Caenorhabditis elegans: one gene and its partner. The protein of the gene in region 2 purifies or fractionates together with the protein of the main gene of each other region. This does not show direct contact. Each region holds a gene or a part of one and is shown on either strand. Other genes may lie near its edges. The genes, in order: math-42 and syp-6.

Region 1 (7,051 bases), on a different chromosome or scaffold from region 2:
TAAAAATCGAGAATAAAATTGCAAGCCCAGTATATTGTAATGGTTGTAAAAACTGGAACATTTAAAAACACATATTTAAAAATGACATGACTAACCATGGAATGTTGTATCGTACTTCAATATCACTATAGTCACGATCTCCTTCTCTGAATTTTGATATATCCTTGAATGTGTGAATTAGCAAGAATGGTCTGCCTGACATTTTCTGAAACAATACGGAATTGTAAAATATTTGTAAAAAAAATTGAACGAAGAGAAAGAAAGATGGAATAATGAATTTTCTTATCAGTATGCAAACAGATTGAGCACTGATACAAAAAAAATCGATTGCAGTTTGTTTGTTTCAGGGCTAACAATACTAATTTTTATTCTTCACATTGATTTTAGGGCTGTTATTGGAGGCCCTCGTCCCATTCTCAGTAATATGGTGTCGTACAATCGTTTTTAAAAGTCATTACAAAGTCCAATGATTGCTAGTTTCAGGGCACTTTTTTCTTCGATTTACCTTTTAATCCGTCTATGATTCAAGTAACCATGTACACCTTTTTTTATTTAACTTCAAACTTATATTGTTTCATCATTTATTAAAATAAAACATTAAAAACGAGTTCAATAGGTACAAATTGTGATACATTTAACCGTATTATTCAACAGAAATGTGTTATAGTTCTTGTCTAAATCCTTATATCCGAGTGTTCCACGTAACTTCACAGTTCGGATTACTGTTCTGAGGTGGTAGCATCATCTGTGATAACGTCATAACTTTTGTCATCCCTTGCTTCCACTAATTTTACACGAGCTTCAATTCTAACGCTATCATCAACCATGTAATCTTTCTTCATATCTTCCCATGTCAAATCCCTCGTCCAATGAATTCCTTCTGTTCTTTCGAATATATGAGTGACATAAATATCTGTCAGTGTTCTTCCAGTGTCTGACACTAGAATGAGCTGAACTTCTACTTCAATCGACCAGTCTTCATCGTTGGTTAATGGCTTATCACAGTGAAGGTGAAGCAAAATGCGCTGTTGTTTTCTTTGAGCAGAAATTCTCCTGAAAAAGGGTACACTGGATTTGTGATACATTGGCATACTAACCATGGAATTTCACAATGTTTTTTGGTTTTGCTGTAATTATATTCTGCTTCATTTATATTTGAAATTTCTTCGACAACATGCTTGATTACGAGGGAGCTAGCTGGTAGATCATCTGTAAAACTACATATAACACATTTTGAATAGAGTTCTACAATAAACCTGCTATCGGAACACACGAAACGTGAGCTTCGATTCTCACACTATCATCCACCGCATACTGTTCCAACATATCCTTCCATCTGATGACTTTAGGATCCCCGTTCGAATCGGGTGTCTCGAAATTGTGCTCGAAAAATTCGGAGATTTGTTTCCCACCAGCTCCAACAAGAGAGAGTTGATACTTAGCCTCAACGGTCCGCGACTCTTGCTCACTGTTCTCATTTCCGCAATTCAGGAATAACTCGGCAAAGCCGTTGTTGTTCTTCAAGCACACTTTCCTGAAATGGAAACATTTCACAAAAAAAAACCCTTAGTTGCTTACCATAAAGCGTAATTCCACTCTTCTGAATTACTGAAGGATGTAGTTCCTTTACGCATGTTTGAAATATTTGCGACAGTGTGAGACAATGTAAAACTTTTTGCAGCTGGCAAAATCTCGCAAGGAAGTTCTAAAAATTTCAGGGGTGGTTTTTAATATAGTAAACGACCACATTAGGTGCTAATGGTAGTAAGAATAGACAACGTGGGTCAGTCCTGAGCAGATCGCAAGTGCCCAAAGGCCCACAAAGCCGGCTAGGGGTTTAAAGCAGGGGTGTGCGGCAAATTCGGCAAATCTATTTTTCCAATATTTGCCGAGCACGGAAAATTCGGCAAATTCGGCAAATTTGTCGTGCTCAACAAACTCGGAAAAATTACATATTTTTTGATGTTTTTTGGAGCACCAAAACTACTGAATTCTGAACAAAAATCTAGTTGCTGAATAAGTTACGTGTAGTGTGTCTGCTTAAGCATCAAAATAACTCAACTTTGTGCCATTTTACTAAGTTTTTGGGGACAAAATCAATAGTTTTCGTCAAAATTTTATTGTCAAATTTTTTGTTGTGTGCTGCAAACTTCGAAATTTGCCGAGCTCGGCAAATTCGGCAAATCTACTTTTTTGAAATTAGCCGTGCTCGGCAAACGGCAAATTCGGCAAATTCGACAAATTTGCCGCATACCCCTGGTTTAAAGGCAAACATTTAAAAGTTCCAACCTTCCACCTTGTTCAGTTTCACTTTCGCTTGTATATTAACACTGCCGTTAAGCTGATAGTACTTCTCCATTTCGTCCCATCGAATGAATCGACTGATACCTTGTCCACCTGATTTATCAAAAACGAGTTTCAATGTTTGTTCTATATTACTGCCATTTGTGCAAACCAATGTGAATGTGCAATCAGCTTCTATTATCTTGTTCCAAGCCATACAATATTCTTCATTACAAAACAAAACAATTTCAAGAAAGCCTAACGTTTTTCTAGCTCGAAGTCTCCTGAAAAAAATTATTTTTCTGAGGTGATGGTTTTTGAAATATTATAATTTACCATGAAATATCATAATGCTGTTCTGTATTGCTCCATTGTTTCTCACCGTCTTGAAACTTTGAAACATTATTGACTGTGAACGGTAGAGAGAATTGTTTTCTGAAAAATACTTGGTTGAATTAGTTTTAAATCTCAACACTCGATTACTCATTAATTAGTTCTTCATTCAAAGATTCGTCCGTCGTCTCTTCCTCTTCTTCTTCTACTACTTCTTCTACCTCTCCAATTCCTGTCATTTCGAGAATAATTGCTTGAGCTTCAATAAGGAGAGTGTCGTTGACTAGGTACTTCTCTTCTAAACTGTTCCATCTTAAGAGTGTAGTCCATCCGGAACCGCTTGGTCTATCGAACACACATATCGCACTTAACAATAAACTTCTCCCATTTGGTGGCACTATTTTCAATTGAATATCAGTTTTAATTGACCATTTTCTGGATTTACATAGTTGTTTCTCACATAGAAGAAACACTTCAAAGAACCCGTTTTGCCTTTGAATTTGCAGTCTCCTGAAGTATTGAATATGGCAATTAGTATGAATAGGTTTTTTGTGTTCGATACATATTCATTTGTCCCATTGAAATCCAAGCTATTTAATTTTTGTAAAAAAAAGACATGACGAATCTTATAATATATTGGCTCCGCATATTTTATGCACTACTGTTTTCCTCTATTACGCTCATATTACCCATCAGTACCTATTCTCCTCACACTCAAAAATTGTATGTATGTATTTAATACGATTAACAAAAAAAGTGAATTGACATGAATAAGTCAAAGCCCAGATATCATAGCGATTTCATGTTGAATTTCATGTTGTTCAACTGAACAACTTTAACAGATGATAAAGATAACTAATAAAAAACACATTTTTAAACAAAACAACAAACCATGGAATGTTGAAACGATATTGAGTGTCCGTATCGTAGTCCTCTCCTTCTCTAATACTCGACATGTTCTTGATAGTATGGGATAGTGCAAATGTTTGCATTGTACATGGCTCATCTCAAAATAATCCTTGATATTGTTAATCTAAAAAACAAGTCCAACCTGCGAATTTAATTATTTTAACAGAAATTTCCACATCGATACTGTCATTGTTCACATATTCGTTCTCCATATCATTCCAACTAATAAATGTATTGTCTCCCCAGCCCGACGATCCATTTCCAAACACAGTCGTTTGCTGTGCTGAATGAAGATTACCACTTGCAGAAATCAATTTAAATTCATATTTGCATTTTATTGACCATTTCCTCCCTTCATGGTATTCTTTTTGGCAGTTCAGGTAGATCCCAAGAAATTCGTTTGTTTTTATTATTTCGATTATCCTGAAAAATTATGAATCTCCTAATAGTGCACCAATAAAATACCAGGGAATATTGTAATGATCTACTGCATCGCTGAAATCTTTTTCATCTTCCTCAAATCTCGAAAGGTTCTTGAACGTATGTTTCAGAACAAATGAATTATTGGAATCTGGTTGAAGATTTGGAAGATCTGGAATTTGTTAATCGGGAGTACTACTCATAAATCTAATCTTACACTTGACTTCAAAGAAACCTGTACTGCTCACAATATCGGCATGGATTTCAATGATAGTACTATCATTATCCACATAATCCCTTAGCATATTCTCCCAACTTATGAATTTATCCATTCCATATCCTTCCGGTTTTTGGAATTCATGTTGTACAATCCGTCGGAAAAACTTTCCACCTACAGTTACTAATTTCATAGTGAATTTCGTTTGAAACGTCCACTTTTTTGTCTCAATACACTCCTCTTTTTCACAGTGCAGGTTTACACCAAGAAATCCATCATTCTTGAAAATGCGCAGTCTCCTTAAAAGTAAAATTGAGAAACACCGCTCTATTGTACTGGTCGTGAAAACGGAGAGAATTTAAATTTAATTAGGTAACAACTGATATTTTTGAAATTTCAAATAAAAATAAAAGTTAAGAAAACATAATTTTTGGTATCGGATTAAGATTTTTAAGCAATTCCCCGTTGCACTACTTCACATATAACTATTAAGAACCCGTATTTATAATTGATATGACTAACCATGGAATGTTGTATCGTACTTCAATATCACTATAGTAACTCTGTCCTTCTCTGAGTTTTGACAAATCCTTGAATGTATGAATAAGTATAAATGGTCTACCTGCCATTTTCTGAAACCACACCGAGTTGTAAATTATTTGCAAAATGATGGATGGTAAATGAGTTGTGGTATTAAAGAAATTGGAGGAAGAGAAAGAAAGATGGAGTTATGAACTTTCTTATCAGTATGCAAACAGAGTGAGTACTACGGACTAAACATCGATTGAATATTATTGTTCTAAGACTTGCAATACATTTTCTGTTCTCGTTGAATAATTTATTAAACTGTGAAAATCGTAAAAAATAACAATTTTCCGGAATCCGAACATTAACAATTATCTTAAATCAATAAATTGTAATACTTTCAATGAACTTGAACAAAATAACGGATGCTTGATGGGGTTTGATAGTAATTATGAATATTAAAATTATCTTCAAAAAAAAAGAGAAACAAAGAAATAGTTTGATCAATCTGTGTTTAAAAGGATTATTAACAAAATAAACGACTGCTGGAGGAGCAGTACGGGTAAATAAAAATTCTTATCAGTTGTGACACTTGAATGTGGAGTGGCGGTAGTAGGGTTGTTATCACTGACTAATTTAATGCTAAAATAACAAAATGGCTTCAAGTTTCGGATTCTGTAAGGATGATCCAGTTGATGTACGTTTTAGAGATGTGGTTCTAGAAAGTCTATTCAAAGTCCAGATGAATCTATTCCAGAAGTGTTCCAATGAGTAGGCGCCGGAAGTAGGAGGGCAAACCCAACAATTCGACACATAGTAGGGGTTCATATATCACCCTCTTCAGGATTTCTAGATACCTCAGCAATCTTTAATGGAATAGGAGCTGTAGCCAAAAAAAGTGAAAATTCCAGGAATTTCAGAGAGCTCAGAAATTATTCAAGGAATAGAATCATGAGTCAAAACAGTCATGCCCAGGAATCCCGAAAACTCTTTCAACTCACTTTTTCGCGAAATAATTGTATTAAATATTCGGAATAATTATTCATTATTCTTTCCAGTTAGGCACATATTCCAAATCTATGGTACCGTCTAAAGATGTATGTGCCAAGACAAAAAATAATTAAAAAAGCAGGATCTGGCTTCGGAAAAATCGCCTTCAGATGATCAAATGAGGTACCATCACCTGCCGGATCTTTATTGCTACTTTGACTTTGAAATGAAAATATTGAACTTTTAAAGTGGAAAGATTCAGCTAGAATGTCATCAAAGCACGATCATCGTATTTAGAATCTCAATTACAAAGTTTATTTACCACAGAAAAGTTAACTTTTTGTTAGGACTCTTTTATATTTAATAGGCGGTCTTCTTCAGCAATCAAGGGCTCTGAAAACTGAAATCATTAGCACATTAATTGGTAAGAACTACTCACTTAATCAAATTTATTATAATACCGCCGTTTCAAAATATGAAACAAACAGTCTTCCTCACAATAGCACCAAATCGCAGCAATCAATAGGTTTCCAGCGGCATAAGCGATGAGGAAGATGGTCATTCTGAACGTAAAAAAAATAATTGCAAATGAAATGGTTATACTTACTCGTAATAAATAGTGGATACAACTTTTGGACCGTGATATGTAGACTTGATTGGTTCTGGTTGCACTTCGATTGTCTCGTTCTTGAGCACTTTCTCAATTTGTCTCATGACTCTTGGCATTGCGAGAAGGGAGGACTTGTAGACGGAGAATTTAAGATCCAGTTTTGACAGTGCAAACGCCGCTTCTTCAAATTCTACCTTGACTGTTTTGTTTACTGAATAGATATCATCCCACCATGTAGCTCGAATCAATCGATTCTCTAACTGTAGATTTATGTCTTCGAAACTAGCCAATTTTGCGAGCCAATCCCCAAATTGATGAAACTTGAGTTTTTTCGGGTCAACGATTTGATCCGCCCACGTATCGACCTTGTAAAAAAATGTAGCGATTTCGAGAACTGTGTGTCTGAAGTTTCCAAATAAAGACTTCAAGAGTGGTGTGTATTTGTTGCTTTTTAAGTTTTCGATTATCTTCTGAATCATCATACCTTTCTCAATGAACTTCTCAAAATCATCCTTGTGATCGAATGCTTTTTTGATAGAAACCAATGCTTTCACAGCCTCTCCAAACGTTTTCGAGTATTTGTCCAAATTTTTCAAGTGTCTCAGATCAGTTGTAGTCTGATTCTTGATTTCTTTCAAAAGCAATCGTACATTTTTAACAATACCCGATGTCGTTTCTACTACAGTTGAAACTTCATCAAAACGGTCTTCAACAGTATCATAGATGGTGGTTCCAACGGTCTCATAGACTGTTCCGGACATTTC
Region 2 (5,431 bases):
ACAAGAATCCAAAAACCGCTCACCGCGTCGTCCGAAATATTGCCGATAAATTTGAGCGCCCAGGGCTACGAACATCTCTATTTCTCTCCGTCTCTTCTGTCAAGCACTATTTCATTGACTTATTGAAATGTTGAAAGAAATGAGAATAAAATTGAGAAACGTTTTCTGTGTGAGATTTTTGCACGTAAACAACTCTTCTATCACGTATCTCTAACATTTCTCTCATTTCTCAAGAAATTCTCAATTTCTCGTGCTCTCTTCTTGAAGGATTTTCTAGATGTTTGGAGCCGCGCTAAACTATTGATTCGAAACTGAACAAGAAAAAAAACAGAATTGACCCAAAATAGAAGTGTTTGAAAGCGGAGACGCAGAGAGCTGCACGAAAAATGATGCAAAAGTGAAGTATTGAAATTGAAAAGTTTTAGCGAGCGAAATCAAAAAAGTGTATCTTTATTGAGTTTAGTGTCCAAATAAAACCCTTTTTCTCGCACCGCCCGTCTTTTTCAGCGAGACAACGACCACAGACAAATGAAAACTATTGAAACAAGTAAATACATACAAACTTTTGTAATTTCTCAAGTACTCTTCTTTTCTAACATGCATGTTGACATGTAAAATTCTTCTTTTCTAACATGCATGTTAACATGTAAAATAAATTTTATAACAGTTATTTTTCCTGAAATTCGACGGTTTAATAAATATTTACAGGACTTAAACATTTAAATTGATTTTTAAAGATAAATTTAATTAGCATTTTGACAGTGACAGCAATAATATTGAAATATTAAAGAACAATGATTTATAACTTATAACAGATCACAAACAATAGGAACATGATGGAATAGTACAAGATTACGCGAAAATTCCGTATAAGAGGAACACAAAAAAGTATGAATTAAATTAGAATGTAGAAAGTTTTAGTCGTCACCATCCCAAATCGTTTGATCTAGACCGCCATCATCTGGAGCAACCAAATCCTGAAAACAATAAATGTTTCATGAATATTCCATTAAGAGACACAAACCTCATCATCCATGGATTCGTTTTCCTCAGATCCTTGTGAGAAGCCAGCTTCACTTTCAGCTACGTAGCTGTTGCCAGAGCCTGAAAATAGTTGCAAATTGTCAAGCTTATTCAGAATTCAAGAACCACTTTTATCATCTGCAACTGATTCCTCTTTTTTGCCAGATATTTTTGAAGAACTCTTCTTAATTTGCTCTGCAGCTCTTTTTGCTTTTTGTCTGTTATCGAATTCTGCCACATGCGCAGTCATGGAAAACTCAACGTCGTTAAGTTTTTCGTCGGTGCCTGTTGGATTGAAGAAATCATTGAGCATAGATTCATCCTGAGTGGTTCCAGATAGGATCGACTCTTCCGATGTTGCCGATATACTTGCAGCCGGATCGTGGCGTTTAGATGAAACACTCGCCGGGCGGTTAACTTCAGAGGGACCTGAAGTAATCAGAATTTTTCGTACTGTAAAAATTATTATTACGGCCGTAATTATGGGAAATGTGTTCCATTTCGCTTTCTCGGCGAACATTATCAGGCAATTTATCCATGTTTTTCTTGGCCTGCATTGTATCATACTTCTCCATATGAGCAATCATTGAAAACTGTGGACGCATTGAAGTTTGTTCTTTGCTAACCGGAGAATTAAAGAATGCATTCAATCCAGACTCATCCTGTGTTGTGCCTGTATCGTCATCGAATGTTGAATCTTCAGAAGTAGCAGATTCATTTAGCTCCGATGTAATCTTCCGAATAACTTCAGTGGGCGTTGCAGCGTCTTTGTTGATAAGTTTTATCCCTGGATAATGCACACCAATCGGTCCAATAGATCGTGTTGAATCTAAAACTATAAATAATTATAAATTTATTTCTTCTTTGACACAAAGTCTATTAAAAAAACTTTGCAAACTTCTTTGAAAGCGTCGTATTTTGTTATTCAAAAAAGTAAACATGTGGTTGTAATCAAATTGGTATAAAAACAATTAAACATCTTACCTGAAGTGAACGACGACTGCGACGTGGTTCTTTGGTTCCACTTCTTAAAACGCAATGATTTCTCCACATTTCGAACATTGTCACGCTGGAATGACTCTGGTCCGGGAAGTTCAGTGCTAGATGCCACGAGACGCCGAAAAGCCTCCTGAAACAAGACTTGTAATATACTGAATTTGAATGAATAAATACTTCTTTCTTTGATTCCACATTCTCTGGGGTGTCAGATCGTTCCACAGCACGGACAGTCACTTTCAATTTATTTAATGTGATTTTGCTTTCAGCAATTTGTCGCTTGACGTCCTCGATAGCAGATTTCTTCCGAGTCAGAACCTCTTTTTTAACGATATATGCGTTTTCCAATTGGTTTATTTGATCAAAACTCTTACGGACTTTCTTGTTCTGATATTTAATATCTTCCAACGACGCCTCGAGATTTATTATACTTTCTGAGTTTTCAGCTTCAGACTTTTCAAGAGTTTGCAGTTCATCGGAGAGCTCGCATACCTCATTGCAATCAGGAAACTTTTCGATAGATGTAAGATTAATTTTGTTAAGATCACTGAGGTCAGAGCACAACTCATTAAGAGATTCTAGTTGCTGGGTCATCATAGCTGATTCTTGGCTGATCACATCCTGTTTCAATGCGTCTTCATATATTTGCCTGGCTTCGTTTATCTAAATTATAAATTTTACATCCTTTTTTATGAAACAGAAATACCTCCTCTTCCAGTTTCGCTTTATAAACATTTTCACTCGTAGAAGAGTCTTTGACTGAAGAAAGCTTCTCCAGAGACAATTGAATAATATTTGACTCGAGATTTGTATTTACTTGAATCTCTTCTTTTAGCTTCATAATTTCTTTTTCAGTTTGAAATATAAGTTTGCCTGTTGAAGATTGACGCTTTTCCACATCGACTTTTTCATTTTCCAGGTGCTGAACAGCACTCGAAACTTCATCAATGGAAAAAACCATAGTTTCGTGTTTTTTTGCAGATTTTTCAATACACGCTTCATATGGAAGTGTGATCGAAAGCACTGACATTTCCATCGGAAGAGAGTGATTGCCCTTGGAACAGAAAAAATCCATTTTATCAATCGTGGAGTTAACTGAAACACGAAAACTAAAATATTAAAAGTTAAAAGGAAAATGATACCTTGATCAGTAGACTGTGCCAAAAATGAATGAAGTTTCTTCTGGTGATTTTTCACATCTTTATCGCTGACTGACATTTCTTCTGCGGCTGTTGCCGAATGTTTGACTTGTGAACAACACGAATCGACTGAAAAAATGTAATTCGTTTGCAACCAAGAACGAAAATCGCCTACGGAGTGCATGGTTTCTTGATAGGTCTCTACACTGTCTTTGAAAGCTCGAAAACTTTTTTTCGAGTAGGTTATTGCTGAAATTAAATTAATATAAACTGTTTCTTTTTTTGGTGACTTACTTTCTGATGATCGACTTGACTTTCGCTTCATTTTCCAACAAACCAAGTACTGGAGCCATTTACTATAAGAACTAAATTAAATATTAAATATATCGTTTCAAGAATTCATTGGAATGAGGCAAAAGTAAATACTTAGGATTAAAAAATCCAGCTTTATATTAAAAACTTTAAAGGCGCATATGAGATGTTATTCGGGTCCCGCAGCGCTCATGCGGGGTACGATAGTACTTCAAAGAATTACGCGGGAATTTCTTTTATGCGGGAAAACGGTTTTTTCTTGTTTACTAGTTCCTTTCTTTCGTCTAATTTTGATATCTTGTGTTTTTTTCCAATTATAAAATGTTTGTCTCTTCTTAAATTTGAAATTTTGAAATTTTTCAGATGTCAGGGCTTGACGACCGGAAAAAACTAACACATGCAAAAAATAGGAAGCCTCTCAACGACATTCCGAAATCCGCTGAAAACAGACCAAATACAAGATCTACTTCGAGTCGGTGAGTTCTACGAAAAAAGTATCTGAAGCGATTATATTTTTTTCAGACGCGGTGCGGAAAAGGACGTTCCCATCACTTTCATCGGGAGTTCTCGAACTGTGAAAGCCGATCTGCCCGAGTTCACAAATACTCGCTCAAGACGTCCATTGCATTCCGAGTCGAAGAAGGAATTGTCTCGGAACCCGGTTTCGAGAGGTGAAGAACATAGCAGTTCTTTGCCAAAATCCTCCCCAGAATCATCCGTGTCAGTCATGTCATCAAACGCGTCGTTGTGGTCCGCATGCACCGAGGAAGTGAATAAAATCGGTGTTTGTGCGAAGCGAGAGAGCAGAAGTAGGATTTGCAGAGTTTTGATTTTTCAGTTTATGTTTTCTTTTCAGATCTTCGTGTTTATAAGATGAAGAGTTTCACAAGTAACATGGAACAGATATTGTCAAACGACAACCAACTCGCTCCCACAGTCATTAGAATTCTGAATAGTAGAAACTCTTGGTGTCTCAACTCGTGCCATGCTTGTTTAACATTTATCATGGGTTGGTTTTGCTTCCTGATAAATTTATTCTAATGTTTTGTAATTCAGAAAATATCACGAGCGACAATTATGGGAAGCGATCGGCTTGCTTGAAGGCTCTTGCATCAATTACCAACAGTTTACTGGACACAATCATCGGATTTGCATCCACCAAAACTCGGCGAATTGGAGTCGATGTGGTAGCTGAAGAGCGAGCTGCAAAAGCAACAGAGTGCATTCACAATTTTCGCAAAATAGTTAAAAATCGGGACAAAATCTACAAACAGATTGACCAGGAGACAATTTACAAACTCGATGCCATTCTCGAGCGATTGAAAAAAGTTTCCAGCCATAAGTAATTTTCTTGTAAATAATTGCATACTTATTATTCAACCGATGGTTATCACCCAACTCACTGTTTATTTTATTGCTCATACATTGTGTTTCTTACATGTCCAATATAAAAACTATCATGTGCTCTCGTATTGTGACTTAAAAACAAAAATGGGCTAATTTAATGTCCCTCACAGTATCGTACGAAAACGGTGATTCATTGTCTATGGAATCGTTTTTCTCTGAAGTCTCTGAGCGAGTGCGCCCCATTGCAATCGATGTGTACACCTCGTGGAGGAACTGATTTTCGCATAAGCTTCTCGTCATTTCTAGAAGTTTCTTAATTTTCTAATAAGTTAACAATAATTTTGTTCCAATTTCTTATTTATCGACACTCGGAGGCTTCTCCCACTGCTAAAACTGTCTCAAAATCAATTTTCAGAAATGAAGGTGAATGTGTCGTGTTCATCCGTTCAAACTACAATCGACATTCTTGAGGAAAATCAAGGAGAAGACGAATCTATTTTGACACTTGGGCAGCTACGCGATCGAATCGCCACCGACAATGATGTTGATGTTGAAACCATGAAGTTGTTGCACAGAGGTTGTTTCTGATTTTTTGGAATAATGAGACAAAGTAT

The links.
Region 1: the proteins of syp-6 (region 2) and math-42 fractionate together in Caenorhabditis elegans (co-fractionation; one large-scale study listed by BioGRID). This does not show direct contact.

What each region holds. Positions count from the first base shown.
Region 1 is NC_003280.10:2,097,675-2,104,725, reverse strand, and holds math-42 (MATH domain-containing protein), read right to left. Parts: upstream 4,801-7,051; 5' UTR 4,792-4,800; coding exon 4,685-4,791; intron 4,462-4,684; coding exon 4,163-4,461; intron 4,118-4,162; coding exon 3,991-4,117; intron 3,949-3,990; coding exon 3,668-3,948; intron 3,623-3,667; coding exon 3,508-3,622; intron 3,127-3,507; coding exon 2,767-3,126; intron 2,719-2,766; coding exon 2,620-2,718; intron 2,568-2,619; coding exon 2,290-2,567; intron 1,706-2,289; coding exon 1,579-1,705; intron 1,535-1,578; coding exon 1,257-1,534; intron 1,210-1,256; coding exon 1,098-1,209; intron 1,054-1,097; coding exon 720-1,053; 3' UTR 546-719; downstream 1-545. Other genes in the region: T16A1.2 (uncharacterized protein), read right to left, coding at 6,117-6,240, 6,285-7,051.
Region 2 is NC_003279.8:6,564,253-6,569,683, reverse strand, and holds syp-6 (Thyroid receptor-interacting protein 11), read right to left. Parts: upstream 3,529-5,431; 5' UTR 3,512-3,528; coding exon 3,453-3,511; intron 3,408-3,452; coding exon 3,334-3,407; intron 3,288-3,333; coding exon 3,162-3,287; intron 3,115-3,161; coding exon 2,726-3,114; intron 2,683-2,725; coding exon 2,197-2,682; intron 2,153-2,196; coding exon 2,008-2,152; intron 1,859-2,007; coding exon 1,496-1,858; intron 1,453-1,495; coding exon 1,150-1,452; intron 1,105-1,149; coding exon 1,025-1,104; intron 978-1,024; coding exon 918-977; 3' UTR 791-917; downstream 1-790. Other genes in the region: ipgm-1 (2,3-bisphosphoglycerate-independent phosphoglycerate mutase), read right to left, coding at 24-75; mei-2 (Meiotic spindle formation protein 2), read left to right, coding at 3,834-3,946, 3,993-4,279, 4,327-4,479, 4,527-4,816; bag-1 (BAG family molecular chaperone regulator 1), read left to right, coding at 5,235-5,394.